Tamandua tetradactyla: one gene and its partner. The protein of the gene in region 1 purifies or fractionates together with the protein of each later gene. This does not show direct contact. Links are inferred from orthologs where the notes say so. Each region holds a gene or a part of one and is shown on either strand. Other genes may lie near its edges.

What was found.
Region 2: the proteins of KDM5B (region 1) and PAX9 purify together in Homo sapiens (affinity purification with western blotting, with the first as the bait; 3 studies listed by BioGRID). This does not show direct contact. The link is inferred for Tamandua tetradactyla from reciprocal best matches to the Homo sapiens genes KDM5B and PAX9.

What each region holds. Positions count from the first base shown.
Region 1 is NC_135330.1:60,011,513-60,019,673, forward strand, and holds the start of KDM5B (lysine-specific demethylase 5B), read right to left. Parts: upstream 3,158-8,161; 5' UTR 2,962-3,157; coding exon 2,758-2,961; intron 2,279-2,757; exon of another isoform or gene 2,063-2,278; intron 1-2,062. Other genes in the region: uncharacterized protein LOC143680256, read right to left, coding at 4,547-4,618, 5,758-6,108, 7,160-7,243. UniProt on the Homo sapiens protein: Histone demethylase that demethylates 'Lys-4' of histone H3, thereby playing a central role in histone code. Does not demethylate histone H3 'Lys-9' or H3 'Lys-27'. Demethylates trimethylated, dimethylated and monomethylated H3 'Lys-4'.
Region 2 is NC_135340.1:16,928,637-16,936,348, forward strand, and holds the start of PAX9 (paired box protein Pax-9), read right to left. Parts: upstream 3,222-7,712; 5' UTR 3,136-3,221; intron 449-3,135; exon of another isoform or gene 1-448. UniProt on the Homo sapiens protein: Transcription factor required for normal development of thymus, parathyroid glands, ultimobranchial bodies, teeth, skeletal elements of skull and larynx as well as distal limbs.

The DNA of each region.
Region 1 (8,161 bases):
TTTGAGTAGTCTTCTTGATTTATTATCTTTGATCACATTTATCCTATTTATTTTCACAAATTTCTGTGACCCTCCCCAGCCCCCATATACAAAATTAATTTAAATACCCAAAGTTTTCAGAAGCCAAGCAGCTTAGGACCCTCACTGAAAAAGCAGCTAGTAACTAAAGCTCTGTAAGTACCATTAAAGAAAAAATTAAGAACAAAAGGAAACAGAAATGCTTTATAATTTTTGTTCTCTCCTCCTAAAAGTAAAATACCTATAGCCTCAATTCCTCTTTTAATATTGTCACTTGTGTCTCAAAAACTCAGTGAACAAAAATCATGTAGAAGCACAGGTATTCTATAGCTCTTCGCATGGAAAATATTTCATACCTCGTCAAGGGTTTTTTGTTGCTACATTTCAACTATATGAAACCACTTGTTCACAGTTAGCTTTCCGAAAACAAAACAGTTTCTAAAACAAAGACTGTTTACATCTCTTAAGAAGCCTTTGTTCCAACAAGACCCCTTTCTAAGAGGTACAACTTCTGGAAAGATTTCCCTTTTTGTGGTTATATCAATAACAAATACTCCACAAAGTCTATTTGGCATTGGAGTTTGCTAAACAAAGGAGGAGGCAAGCCCCCTCCACACAAAGGCAATCTCCAAACAGAGCACTGGTTATTTTTGTAGATTAGTTGTGCCTCTTTATCATCCTTTCCCAGGCTGTAGTATGTTGTATTCTCAATACAAAATGGTGGCCATCATGTCTGACATTCAAAGTAGGAAAAGGCAATACAATCAAACATTTTGCAAAGGCAACTATTAATATGCTAGCCAAGATGGGGAAATGGGTAGCCAAACCTAATCAAAGCAACACTATCTTTTTCAGGAAAAGGCCCTATAAAAGTTACAGAATAAGAAAAGAAGATAAAGGGTTTATCCCAGCCTTAGTATACCACAATACCAACATGGAGGACAACTCCCAGGAACCAGACTCTTCACATTTCGGCTAACCAGAACTTACTCAAGTTGCCTTAATTATGAAGAAAATCTCACTTGTGCAAATAAAACTCAAATGCTAAATGTTTGAAACATAACCTATTCTTCAAGAATTAAAAATCTTGGTTCAAACCAGTCACGCTTAGCTAACTTCTGCAGGCCTCTTTGCACTCTAAATTTAGTTCCCCAGAGCAACAAGAATCAACCCTAACCACTTGAGAAATCCATTTTTTAAACGTTTCTCCCAAATTTGTTGGCCAGTTATTTTCTAAGACATATATTTCATCTCCATTTTCAAACATGACCAAGAAAAACAAAAGTATGGTGTCCTTGTTTTAATTTCGGGGTGAGGGGCAGGGTGGGAGCGCTAAAGACTTATTCAGGAATTTCCCTCAAAACTCTTCCAAAACAGAAATGACCACATACAGAATTCCTGCAACTAAAAATGTCATTACAAAGAGCAAAGTTAATGGGAGAAAGGGATGGAAGGGGCTCTTCCTACACTTTTTTTTGGGGGGGGGCGGGGGATTGGAGCAAGGAGAAGATTCTTAAACAGCAGGAAAGGCAGTTAAACCTCCGTCCCAACGGTCTCAGCCGGTCCAACCGTCGTTTACTCCAACTCGGACTTAGACGATCCCAAAAGTTGGACACAAACAGGGGGGTAGGAGCGCACCCAGCTCGGGGTCCGAAAGGGGTGGGGAGGGAGTTGGCCGGGCCTGCCTCAGAGAACCTTGGAGCCGTTAGGGATGATCTCAGAAACACACACAACCCCCAGTCCATGGCACTTTAGACAGGGCCTGAGGAGCTGAGGTGGGAGACTACACTTCCGTTCCTGGAGCTTGGGGGGCTGGGAAATTGAGTATTAAATCTTCGGAAGTCTTCTCTGACATCTAACCCATAAATGCAGCCTCGTCCCCACTCCATCCACCCCTCACCAACACGGCCCACGCCTCCCCCCAGGGAGCCGAGCGGTTGGGCCAGAGTCGGGTGCGACAGAACACCGGACCGCAGGCGGCATCGCGGCCCACCACCGCCGGTCCTGCCCTCCACCGCCCCAAAAGTGCCCTCCAGACACTTACGCCCCCCACAACACATTCGCTCCGGGGCTGGATCCGCGGCTCCTTCCCCGCCCTCCGGCAACGCTGGACTCCCCCTCCTCAACCCCGACCCGGGGAGCACCAGTAGACTCGAGGACAAGGGGGTGGGGGGTGCCCTGGTCTGGAGGGTGGGGCGCCCAGGTGAGGGCCACTCCGGGCCGACGCCACCACCACACAAAGGACCAGGGGCTCCCGCCGCCATATTGAAAACTTTCCTCCTCGCACGACAACTCGCAACTCCCCCACCCCCACCCCATCACACACCCCCGCACCCCGGAGGAGGAGGCGAGGACCAGCCTGCGGAGCCTCGCCGAGCCCAGAGCCAGCCCTCCCTCCCCGCCCGCGCCTCCGCCTGGCTCCGGGTGGAAACACCCCCGCCACCATCCTCCGTCCCCTGCCACCACTCCACCCGCAACCGAACTCGAACCCCCGGGCCGGGTCGCACACCCGCCTGCCGGAGCCCCGCGCCGACCAGGCCCTCCCGGTGGCACCACCAAACCCCCGCTTTCCCACTCTGAAGAAGCCCCAGTCTTCCTGCCCTGCCTCAACTCCGACCCTCTGGGCCGCCCCAAACTTGACGTCCTCTCCGCCCCCCGCGCCTCAGGCCTCCCCGGCCCCACGCGTCCTCGCTCCCTCCCCCAGCCGCGAGCAGGATCCGGAGTGCTGGCGTGACTCACCGGTGGCGGCCGCACCTTACAGATCCCCGTCTGCTCGGCTATGGGCCGGATCTTGTGGATGAAAGCGAAGGGGTCCGCAAACTCTTCCCAGCTGGGTTCGAAGACAGGGCACTCGGGGGGAGGCAGGAACTCGCCCAGCGGGCCCGGGCCCCCCAGGGGTAGCGCCGGGCGCGGGCCCGGGGGCAGCGCGGTGGCCGACTCCATCGCTGGGGGTCGGGCAGGGACGAAGAGGTGGTGAACTTGAAGACCGCGGTGCGAGGTCCGTTCGGTCTGAGACTTCTGCAGACGTAGCTTAGGCAACAGCAAGTCCGACTTGTATTAGCAACGGCAGCACCTTGGGCTTTTTCAGCCTTCCTCCGACGACGTCTTGCCGCTAACCCACGCCGTGCGCCTCCGCCGCCACGGCGAGGAAAAAGAGTCCCACCCCACCCCCACACGCACCCCCCCCCCCCGCCCTGTGCCGAGCTCCCCGCCCCGCCCCCGAACCGGGCGGGGCCGGGGCCTTCCTCCTGGCGAAGGAGTTTTATTCTTACGGTTCAGCCGAGCCTATGTTTATGGACCATTTACTTATGTGCCAGAGCCCCTGCCCTCGAGGAGTTAATAATCTGGTGGAGACGATCACACACATAAATCGATTGTTTCAAACATATCAATACACCATGGTAGGTGCCGTGATAGACACTTAGTAAAACCTGGCGAGGGACAGAAAGTACTGGGAGAAAAGGATTTCCCAGGTAGAGGGAGCCGCTTGAACATAACAGAAGGGATGTGAGAAAATAATAGCCAACACTTGAGCACTTGCGTATTCTAGACACTGTTCTAAATGCTTTTCTAAATTAGTCATTTAATCTTCACAATCATCTTAGCAGGTATGTGCTCGTATTTTCATTTTACAAACAAGGAAAGAGAGGCACAGACAGTAATCTGCTCAAATTCACACAGCTAACTGGTGATGGAAATTTATCTTTTGGGAGGTTGAGGTGTTACACGGAAAAAGAGTGGTCCACAAGCATTCTGACAAGGTTGATTGTAGAGAAATAAGGCTATTGCCATAGTCCAGATGAGAAATAATGGGTCCTAAATTAATGGGTGCTATTGACAGAGACAGGAAGTCAAATGTAGGAGATAAAAATAGGATGTAGTGATAGATTGGGGACGGGGCAGTGAGTGTATACCAGCACTGACATTGTTAGATTACGTAAGCAATAAGCAATCAGTCTTGGAAGGAAGGTAATGGGTTTACTTCTGGATAGGTTGAGTTTGAGGTGTTTTTGGTACACACAGCTGGAGATGTCCCACAGGCTTAAGGGTATGTATCTGAACGGAAGATATCAGAACTGGAGAAAATAATCTAGGGTTTGTTTTTTAGTGTATGGAATAAGAGCTATTGTTTAGCTTATTGAGTCTTCACAACAATTGTATGGAGTACATAATGGTATTATCCCCATTTTACAGGCCAGTGGAGGCACAGAGATTAACTTTAAGAGATAAGAACGCTTTTGAGGCACTTTATTTGGAGTGTAGAACTTTAACACTGAAAAGACCTCTTTTATCCAGAAAGCAGCCAAAATCTTGGAAGGACTGTTCTCCAGGGCAATCAATAGTCCTTACAAGCAATCAACGGTCCTAGGCCTGCTTTCAGATCCACGTAGAGGAAAGAAGTGCCGTATCCTTCAAGAGTCTTCACTTTTATTTTTTGAGTCTCCTCTTCATTTAAACCCTTCCCAGAGTTACCTGGCCCCAAAAGAGTTTAGAGAGGTACTCTGAAAAGGAAGTCCTTATCTTAGCGCTAGAAGTTTGAGACTAAGTCTTTCTCTGCTTCCCATTGCAATGGACATTCAGCCAAGGGCAAGCTGGCAACCTATTAGAGCAAAAGAAGTCATCAGTGTAAGAGAGACAGCAAATGAAAGTAAAATGTTAGTGGCAAAATCTAGGTGGATATACGAGAATTTAGTGAAAAAACATTTTAGCTTTGCCAAATGTTTTAAACTTTTTCATTATAAAATGTTGGAGGGGGGGATCATTGTTGCTTTTTTGCCATAAACACTCCGGGGCTTCTGAGGGTCTTAATGGAGTTGATTTCCTGTCATGTGCTCCCTCCTGGCAGAGCGCTAAAACTATTTTCACCCTTAATGTTTCTATCCTACAAGCCAGGTAGGTATAACTTTGCGAAAAATACTAGACATATATGAGTTAAAAACAAGTCTAAGAAAATCTTTCCCAATTTTCCACTGTGTCCTAATATTCTCTCACGTTCCCAACTCCAGAGGTCTCCCAGTCCCGCTTCTTCCATTTCCGGTAGTGACCCTAAATGATGAGATTCTGTTGCTCGTAGATTAGGCTGCAGCCGTTGGCTCCCCATGGGCATGATGTGACGTTGGGGTTGGGGCGGGGGGGGACGGTTGCCAGGGTAGTGAGGGGAACCTAGGGACCGAGACAGCTCTCCCGCCGGGCAGAAGACGCTTCTCCTTGCCCTTTATGATGTGTGTTTACATGGGCGGAGGGATCCCTCACCAGCTGACAGCCACACCGCGGCCGGCTCTTCTTTTTTTAAAGAGCCTAGCCACAGGCGGTGATTGGCCGCGGCCAGGGCCGCACCAGCCTCCGGGGGCGGGGCCCCGGCCGCATTGTCTCGTCTAGGGCCGGCTGGAAGCCCCAGAGGCCGGACCTGGGTAACCCGGGTCCGGAGGTGCCCGAGTGGTGCTTCCAGAGGATTGGGAACGAAGCCTGGGCGGGGTCAGGTTCGGGTTCCCGGGGAAAGCAGGGCTGGAACCCAGGCGGCCGAAGCGGAACCAAGCCCAGCTCGGAGTGCCACGTCTCCAGGAACCCCCTCCTTACTCTTGGACAACACTCCGCCCCTACCCGGGCCTCCGTCCCCCAAACCACCCCCATTTTGGCAACACCAGATACTTTGGACACATTCCTAGGGGTCTCCATCCTCATCTAGTCTACCCTTCTCCCCCGCACCATCTCACCGCCTCCCCAACCCTAGCCTCGGACCGACGTCCCCAGAGCTGCGGCCTTCGACCCTAGATCCTCCCGCCGCGTGACGAGTTGCTCCCCGCTCTCCTTCCGGCCGCTGCGATGGAAGACCACGCTCCTGGGTTCCATACTGGGGGAGCGACTTCCTCCCCACGGTCCCCTGCGTACTGCTAGGAACTGGGCCCCGGGATGAGGGGGGCAGGTCCAGATCCCCAGCTGCCGGGGAGGGGGTGGCGGCCCGCGCAGCACGTAGCGCACGTGTAGGGCCCGCTCCCCACCCCCTCCGTCGCCGACTCGGCTAACTTTCCAGGGCTCGGGGTGTCGACCGCGCGCCTCCCTTCCGCCTTGACCTCCGGCCTCTGCGCCTTGCTAGTGCTGCGTCCCTTCTGGCGTCATCTTTCCCTTCCGAACCCTATTGATACACCTATCTCTTTCTCTTTTTCCCCAGTTCCCCAATGCACGGGTTTTCCTCTACTTCTTTATAATAGATCTCTGTGCCTTATCTCTCCAGCTAAATCTCTCCCCACCACCTCTGGTACAATAGAATGTTTGGTGTCTGGGGTCCTTTGTGGAAACCCACAAACCTTTGGAATTCTCAAGATGAGCTGCAGCCTTTTGGACGTCCTTTTTTATTTTGTGCACTCCAGCTACTTCTTGTTACTCTATTAAGGCACTTAGAACTCGGCATTTACCTTATTTCCACATGCCTCTCCTACCAAACTTGTAAACCGCTGGCGGAAAGAAGTAATGTTTCTAGCCCTGGCACGAGGCAGGGTAGATGCTTCACAAATATTTGTGGAAGGGGAGGGAAAATGGTCTTGATTTTCTGTGGCCCAGACTGTTGAAAATGGAGCTTTGGGCAGCCAAAAGAAGAGTCTGGCTGCCCAGGTGAAACAGGAAGGGATCTCAGGAGAGCTCACAAGAGTTTGAGGGATTTCTCCCCCCACCCCCCACTGAGTGACCACCACAACTGAACACCACCTCTGTCCTGCCGCATTCCCCTACCCTGCTCATTTCTGTCCAACCCGCAACCTCTCTTCCTATGCTATCTGCTGAACTGGTCTGTGGGACTTCTGTGCCTTCTATTCTGTCCCACTCCCAGTAGTGGGGGCTGTTCTTGGGCTTCTGCCCCTAGGAAGCTGAGTCTGTGGCTGGGGAAGTGCCTAGTAACTAAATTCTTCCTACTCCTCATCTCCCTTTCCTCTCCAGCCCAGTATCCCTTTTCTACTGATCCAGCCCAAGGGGATGCAGGGTTACTGCAACTACAGCCCTGGATTTTAATTTACTTGGGTGTGGAGCCAAAAGGGTTCGACTCTTGTCTGGGCCCTCTCCTTCTGGAGCCTCCAACAGGCACTAGCAAATGAAACATTCCCAGGGTGTTCCCAGCCCTGTCCGTGGGGGTGGGGAAAAGCAGAGTTACCCACACCAGGGCTTCAGGGTGTGTTTCCTCCCGTTCCGGTTGGGCCACTTTAGAAGCCCTGGACTCCCACAGAACAATCTTATGCTGCCAAGAACGAGAGAAACCCAGGTTACATCTTCATTCCACAGCAGCCACCACCAACTCTAACTTTGGTCCCTGGGCTGAGCAGCCCTTCCCAATATGTTTTAAGGTTTTGGATCTCTAGAATGTTTGGAATTCTCTGTATCTGGGATGAAAGTCTTCTCATAGTATGAAAACAACTGCAACAATGTCAGAACTTTACAGAGCATCCACTAAACCCAACTAAAATTCAGTGCTCAACTAAATCATGTTGAGAGTCCAGCACAGGGTTTGACACACCAAATGCTAAGGGCTAATTCCCTTTCTTCGCTCCCCTGGCCATGTGTGTGGAAGAGGGCAGGGGTATGTGAATGGCTAGAAATTCTATAGTAACATGAATAACATGGGGTCACTGGCTGGGAGTGATTCAGACTATTGGACACATCAATGCTGTGAAGTAGGTAGATATAATTGTCACCATTTTCCAGACGGAAAAGTTGAGTTTCAGAAATTTTAATTAGCCAAAGCCACACAGATAATAGCAGAGTTAGGACTAGAATCTTCATCCTAGTACCTTTGTTCTTCCTCAACCAACCAATTGACTTCCCCGAAGCTGAGGAAAGGGGCACAGAAGCCCCATCTCAAATCTCACCACCGGCTACCCCTTAACCTGGCCAAATCACCCATTCTTTCCTCCTCCAAGACCCAGTGCCTTCAAATTTTTTTGACTAATCTACAATGCATTTGTTTGCATGCCAACAAAATTTCACAAAATACCTACCCTTATACAATGGTGACTTTATATGCTAGTTGAGATGAGACTCATTAAGTTGGTTTTGTTACCTGGTTATGGACTATGACCCTCAGTTTGAAAAACACTGCTTCGAAGTTAGCTTTTCCTGCTGTTTGGGTGGTTTTCAAGATACAGATCAAGATAATACA
Region 2 (7,712 bases), on another chromosome or scaffold:
ACCCCACATTAGCGTCACTCAATAATTGTTCTCCACCCCCCGCATCCTCCCCGTGTTGAAGGCAGGCGGGATTGCTAGTACCCTCACATTGGAAAGTTTCCGATTGTATAAGCAAATCTTCCCTAAAGACTTCAAAGTAAAAACAAATAACGGCAGGGAAATTGCCATGACCTTAACATCACTTTCTGAACGCAAATTACACCCATTTTTCAGTTTTCAAGAACAGAATTGCTTTCAGAAGGACCGCGCCGAGCCCCATGTGATACGGTTACGTTTGTTTATTAAATCCGCAACTGAAAGAACATATTTTTGTGCAAGGGGGTGAAACTCATGGCTGTGGGGCGGCAAGAAAGAGCGAGGATGGGAGCCTGGCCGGCGGGGGGCAGCGGCCCGGCGGGAGACTCTGTCTTGTCGGGGTCGCGGCGCCGGGCGCGGACACGCGACTGGGTGACGAGAGCAGGACGCCTTCCACCATCACTCAAGGGAATCGCAGCTGCTTAAGGGAAAAGCAGAGTTACCGGGTGGGCTTCGCCTTCTTAAATAACAGCTGTCCGAGACCCTGTCCTCGGTACTTCGGGCGGCCGCGCAAGGCGGGTAGGGCCGCTTCCTTCTGCAGACCCTTCAGGGAACAGGCTAACGCAAACCAGGCGGCGCCTCCAAGCTCTGGTTTCCAGGCTCCAGCAAACGCGAAGCCCTTCCGGGCCTTCCCAGTGCTCCAGGTTATGCTTTCTGGCAAGGTCTCGATTGTCCGAGTCTGGGAGGCCCGGCCTGTGTACTTCTTGTCCAGGGTCAGATGGTGGCACGGCTGGGCCAGACGCCCCTTGACCGAGGGGACGACCCTCCCAGACCCTGTCCACGGCATCCGAGAAGCCAGCGTCAGCCCCGCAGGCCGGAGCCGGCGCGCTGGGCACGGGCATTTCCCCCCTGTTCGATGGTGCAGAGGCCCGCGCTCGTTCACCGCGCGCCTCCCTCGCCTCACGGGTGGCGCTTCGCCCATGGAGTCGTCCAGGCAGCATGTTCTCCGTGCTCACTCTACAGCCGTGCTCACTCTACAGCCCACCGGTCCCGCACTGGCGCCGAGAGCGAGGAATCGTGCTGCATTGTCCTCGTTACCGCCCTTTCCCCCCTCCCCGAAAACAGGAAGCGGAGCCGGGGAGCAGAGGGCCAGGGTGGGAGTCACGGAGAGTTTCCCCGAGGTCGTCAGGTCCCTGGACGCCCCTCTTCCCGCAGCCACTCCCGGTCACGGCGCCACCTACAGGCGTCGGATTTGACCGCACTGCTTTGCCGAGATTGAGAAAGGCCTCTCTCTCTCTCTCTTTCTCTTTCTCTTTTCCAGTTCTCCCCTCCACCCTCAATTCTCCCCTGGGCTCCAAATCCCTCTGCTTTCTCCATCAGTCTCCAAAGCAGCCGGAGAGTCAGACCGTTCGGTATTCATAGAAACGTCTTGCAGGATCCCCGTCGCGGGCCCCCCAGGGGCTACTCAGGGCCACCTGCTGTGGGCTGGAAATCCCGAGGCCAAGGAGTCTCCGCGCAGCAGCTGGGGGCAGCTTAGGCCCACCCTTCTCCAACTCATCCTCCACTTATGGAGGGTCCACAACGTCCCAAGCGCTCTCATAAGTGATCTGCCCCCATCCTCACAATAACCTTGCGAAGGAGGTATTAAGACCCTTCCGGCTTTACAGCAGAGAAAACAGAGACAGAGTAAATAAGAGCACATAGTATGCCCAGATTCAATGAGATCACCCGATTAATTAAGAGTACAGCTGTGGGATCTGAACCCCCACCGTGTCCCCAAACACCGTGGCTGTCATTTCCCTAGGCTAGAGCAACAGCTTCAGCTGAGACGCCCAAAGGAGCCTCTTACCGCCGTGTCTGCACGGAAGGTGGAGCCCCTTCCTCCTGCATCCAATCTTAGAGATTCGACTGAGGTTACACAAAAAAAGGTTTGCCCCCTAGGCCCTCACTGCAGCCACAGGATCGACACCGTAGAGGTCGGGGCTGACCCATAGACGTAAGGAGACAGACTGATCTCCGGCTGCGTGAGCTCGGTGCTTAGCCTTCTCTGGCCCGTGCTGCCCTAGGGCCTAGAGTCGCGGAGCCCGGTGACCGCAGCAGTCGGCAGCGTCCACCCGGAGCGGCGGGAGAGGGGCATGGTGAGGACCGGGAGGACGCGGGAATGCGCTGCTCCTCCGTGGGATGTGTTCTCTGATTGCCGGGACATGTCCGTCTGGCCCCCTGTGCACTCCCAACTTACCAGTCCCAGATTGAAGAAATCCTGATTTATCCTTCTGGGCATCATTTCGATGTGTGCCTGTGTGTGTGTTTTTTTTCTTTTTTAAGACTACTATGGTAGGAACAAACTCGGAGGGGTCGAGGTGCAATGACATTAGACCCCATAATGAACCCAGCTAGCTGGACCCCAGTGGAACAAGTCGCGCTCCCTGTACCAGAGTTGAGGTCACAGTTGCCTTTTGTTTCCTTTCGGGTGTATCTTCAGAGTCCGTCTTGACTCTGTCGTTACCCTTGATACAGCGGGAGAAATAAATTATTTTAAAAATCACCATGATAAAGGCGAACCCTAGGAAAGTGTTAGCCAGAAGATGATAAAGCCCTGAGGTGGCTGGGGGCAGCGGGTCGCATTTAGTGGCCTGGGGGGAAACGCACAGCAGCTACTGCCTGCTCCGAATTTGATCCTCCGTTGTCTCTTGCTTGGGAGTTGTGAAGGTGACACGGGCTGGGAAAACCCAAGCCGATGCTTTCAGACAGAAACTGTGATCTGGACCCAGATTTCGCCACCCCACGTCTTGCCTGGAGTCAAAAAGCTCTGCAGCCGGGGGGGGGGGGGGGGGGGGGGGCGGGGGGGGGCTACGTGTACTGCCGCGGCAAGGGCTGGAGATTGCAGCCGCCCCCCGCACCGGGCGCCGGAGGTCCTAAGCCGCAGCTCTTCTTTCCGGCTGGGTTGGACCTTCTCCGGGGCTGGGCAGGCTCAGAAGGCCACTCGGCCCGCAGACTGTCGGTCCACCAGCCCCACCTGCGGCGTCCAGGACTCACCCCTTCCTCCTCCCGGAGCCAGCGCATGGTCCTGCCCGTCTACAATCACCCCCACCGCGAGCATCAAGGGAACTGGCCGCCTACCTCTCCCCGCAACAGTGCGGCATTGTGAGACAGTCTTCTGTGTCCCGGCCGCTGGGGACACAGAGTATGACCACTTTTCCAGGAACATGGCTGGGGGGCAGTTCTGAGGAGATTGCTGAGAGACTCAACAATATGGTTTTTACTGAGTGCACAGAGGCTAAGGAAGAGAAATGTAAAAATGGAATGAATGTAATCTCTCAAAAGCATCTAAACTCTTTTCTAAGCCAGGAAGGATAAAGCACTGTACATTTTTGCAGAGCAAACAAATTTTGTCACCAGGTACAACCTGTTTTGTTTTTGTTTTTCTGACGAGAGGGCAAGAGAGAGAGAGAGGGAGGGAGGGAGGGAGGGAGGGAGAGAGAGATGCTGCCTTTATATGATTAACTTTTTTTCATTCTAATGAAACGTTTTAGAAATTAGTATAAATTAGTCAAAAGTCTTCAGGAAAACCCAAACAAGTGCTATTGGTTTTGTTCAGTACAGATATGAAACTTTAACAGAGGCAAAAAAAAAAAAACTTTTCAAAAGGTTTGTCTATGCTTCACATAATTTGGATACTTAAAAGCTACCCACGCATTTAAAAATGTCTGCAAATATGATTATCTGCATATGCTAACCACATAGATTTACTTTGTAGGGCATTTAATAATATGATTATAATTAGTAAGAGATGGGCTACTAAGAGAAATATATTTCTTGAGAAGAGAATTTAAGAATATGAAGTAGAGTTTCAAACAATATCAACACTTGTTTTATCCCAATTCTTCAAATTCTGTTATGAAAGTTCTTACATACTCAAGCATTACAGCTTGGGTTCTATTGCTGCGCTGTCTCCAGCCTATAGTTTAATGGCTGCAGTGGAGAGAGGAAAGATTGCAACCCCAGATTTCCACCAGAAATGCTGGGCCAGTGTCCTGTTTATGATATGATTCATGCAGCTGCTCTTCTTGAGACTCCCCAGTAGATACAGGGTGGGGAGAAGGAGGCTGGTTCTGTTTCCTTCAGGATGGAGATGCAAACCCTAAATGGTGGCAGACGGGTGAGCCACTTCTTTGGAAGAATAGAAAGCCACGGTCACGGTCAAGAGGGACCTTTAAAAAGTTCTCTAGCACCTTCCTGCAAGACCAGACGTGTGGATCTGATGTTCTGGCAAGCTGACAACACAAATTCCCTTAGCAGTTGTTATTGCCTGAGCGATTCCTATGCAATTCCTTTGGGATTGAGTTCTGCTCAGCCACATGGTTCCATTCTTGAAGACCCGCCTTTCAGTGGGGGGAGAAATAATGATCCCATTACTCAATGTAAAACCTTTGGTAATGCCAGTTTAACGCTAAAAATTTAAACCCCTGAAAGTCAGGAAATGGAAAAGTTAAAAATTCTTTTAGTTGTGTTAAATCACCCCCGCTGCCCCGCTGCCCGAGCTCTATAATGCATGGTACATTTACAAGTCTCCCCAGCCAGGCCGTTCCAGCAACCAGGCACTCCGCTGCTGTGTTTAAAAAAGGATCACCGTAGCGCTACTTGACTGGGCAGACTTTTCATTTGCGTTTTGAACGCTTCATGCCAGTAGATTTCAGTGGCTACTTGCTAGATGAAAGTACTTCAGTGCATGTATGCGTGAATAGTTTAAAGCTTAAAGAAGTTAAATTAATTCATAGGTAACATAAAGCCAACTCAAAACAAAATACAGATATGCCGTAAATGTTTATATACCTCGAGATCTTTGAAATACTAAATCCAGAGTTGTATGATTCAAGACCAGCTCTATACTCAAGCTCTGACATAAAATGAAACCCTTAAATGGTAACTGATGTGAGTGGGTGTGCTTTCCATATTTCTTCCCCAATTTTTATTTTAGAACTGAACTCACATAATTTTATTTTAGAACTAAACTGTATCTCCTTAGTTTTGCCAGCAGGAGAATATACGGTCAAAATACATTCTGTGCTGGAATGTCAGATGTTGCTAAGTTATCTATGCTCTATTACTTCCAGAAAGAGTCTTTCTGGAAGACTTTTGAAGTTTCCTCTTGAAAGGCTAGCCAAAAAGCATACATGAGTCTTTTGGAATCAAACTTGTCAATATTCTAACTACTAAACAAAATCACCTTAAGACTTTCTGTTTCTCAAGAGTTCCCTGTGTCAAAGGGAACAAAAAAGGTGAACAGAAAACAGAGGGTTAACCTTGTAGAGTTGTGTGTAAAATGAGCTATGGCTCTTGGCTATACTTGTACATGCTCTGTGTGTCTCATCATGGAACTGGCAAAGCAAGGAGGGTTTTTGGGATGAAGGTATTAGGTATATAGAAGGTATTATTATTCTTATTAGAGAAAATTAGTCTCAACGAGGAAAATATGCCCTTGGGGTAAAATATACATTGAGTTCAATAGAAGGAATGAATAGTATACACTTGGATGATGCTACATTAAAAACTGCCATTTTTTTTCCTAAGGGAAAATTTCTTGAGTCAATAGACATGATGAGAGCAAATCTATGTAGTCTGTACATGTCACCAAAAGTCAAGGTATACTTTCAGATGTCACAATTCTATCACCTCACTGTCAAGAAAACATCCTCAAACAAACGGATTTGTAATTCCTACTCTCTCCCTGAAGAAATTCTTCTCATGATATAGTTAAGCCTTAAAGAATTGAATCATTCTGGAAAGCAAGTATGGATGCAGTGTGAAGGAACAAAAAATGTCTCATGAACATTTCATAATGATTGGTGTTTTTAAACACAGTAAAACATAAGGAAGGGAAGCGTGTACTTGACCCAGAATATAGTACAGGGAGTGCTCAGGTGGGCGAATCTAAATGGATACTTCCCTGGTAACCAAGACTTCCTGGTAAATATAATGCTTAAATAGAGCTGATTGGAGATCATTCACAATCTAAGAATGTGAAGTTAGTGAAAATCAATATAGAAGACCCTTTTTTGGTGAATATAGTTATTTTGAGAAGGAGGAAAGTAGGCTGATCTTACTTTAAAAGGAACATACTTTTCTCCTTTGTATCACCTGCTTCCAAGTATCAGGGGAAGGCAAAATGGATGCTGGGATTAATAGGAGAGTGATACAAACTTTGGAAGTTAAATTCATTGTTGCTGCTATCACACATATTGCCCATAAAATTTGCATGTGTGGTTCTCAATAAACTTATTGAACTCATTTATAAGAAAAAGATACCAACTTACCTCTAAAGTTAACCCCCTGTGTGAGCTTTTCAGAATTGTCCCAGGTTCAAAGGGCTGAATTTAGATCCTTTATTTGCTTTTTAAGTCCCATAAAGGCACTGTGCTCACCCTAAGGACTAAATAATGGTCCAAGGCCCTTTCTCCCCCTACCCTAATGAAGCCAGCACTAACTTGAAGAAACACAGAATCCTTCTTTTGATGCATGGCATCACTTGTGCTTAGAAACTCAGAATATGAAATGGGAACACAAATTACTACAACCTATATCCAACATCTATGGGAAACTTTGGACACCAGAAGAGTTTGCTGTTCAATTAGCACCTATTCTGTGTTTGTCTTTTCCCTTAGCTCCATCTCCATACCACCTACCATTCTTTATTTAAAACACACAAAGATACACATACACAACAGACACACACACCTATCCACTCCAGATAATAAAGCAACATTTCACATGAATTTGATTTTTAAAATGTTCTTTTCCAGTTAAAATTCCATGAAATCCTTTAAATATTTTAAGGCACACCAGGAAACTAAGCATAACATTACCAAGATGAGTTCCAGTGAGGTCAAAAAGCAGTTAACTTTGTTCATATTAGATTCCCAAACCACCATAAATGCATATATGGCTGGATCTATCTTGAAGCTTAGATTTCAAACAATCCATGAAAAGTATATCCAGACCTTTACATGTTTTGGAGAAATTAGCACACAGAGAACATAAGGTCAACATTTGCCATCTGTACTTGCTCACAAATTCTTTTGCCCTTAAAAGCAGGTAGGGTGACCTTAGTTATATAGCATTAGGGGAACATGGGCTTCAGACTTTCAAAAGTGGAGCTTGGGGAGATGGAAGCTTCTCAAAGTTATCAGTGTCCTGGATAGATTCTCTCTTGAATCTGTAGATGAAGTCCATACATGTAGTCATATTAGAAACCATGATTTCTACAGAGCATGGGCTCTCTTTTCTCCTAGAGCTTTCTTGGAACATAAATTGGGTTCCTTTCTGCAGTATATTCTACTTGCCAATCTCAATTAGAACAGCAATTTTTTTTTTGTAAAGCTCATAATTTGGGGGAGATGATTATTCATCTGAACTCTCAATAGTTCTAAATACCAATTGTATTATTTTGAACAATTCACTCTTCAGGTCACACACCAAATAATGCATGGCCATTTTCTTCTTAGACTTGTGCATAGCTCAGGGAGCAAATATTCTACAATAACTGTTAAACAAAACATCTTCCAAAGAAGAACAATTCTCTTTCTAACTTTGAACCCTGGGTGTGTGCTGGAAGAGAGTGGTGGCACCAAAACATAGCCATTATCTTTTTATGATCATATTTGCAGCACACAATGTGAATTTCACTGTTTTATTTGCAG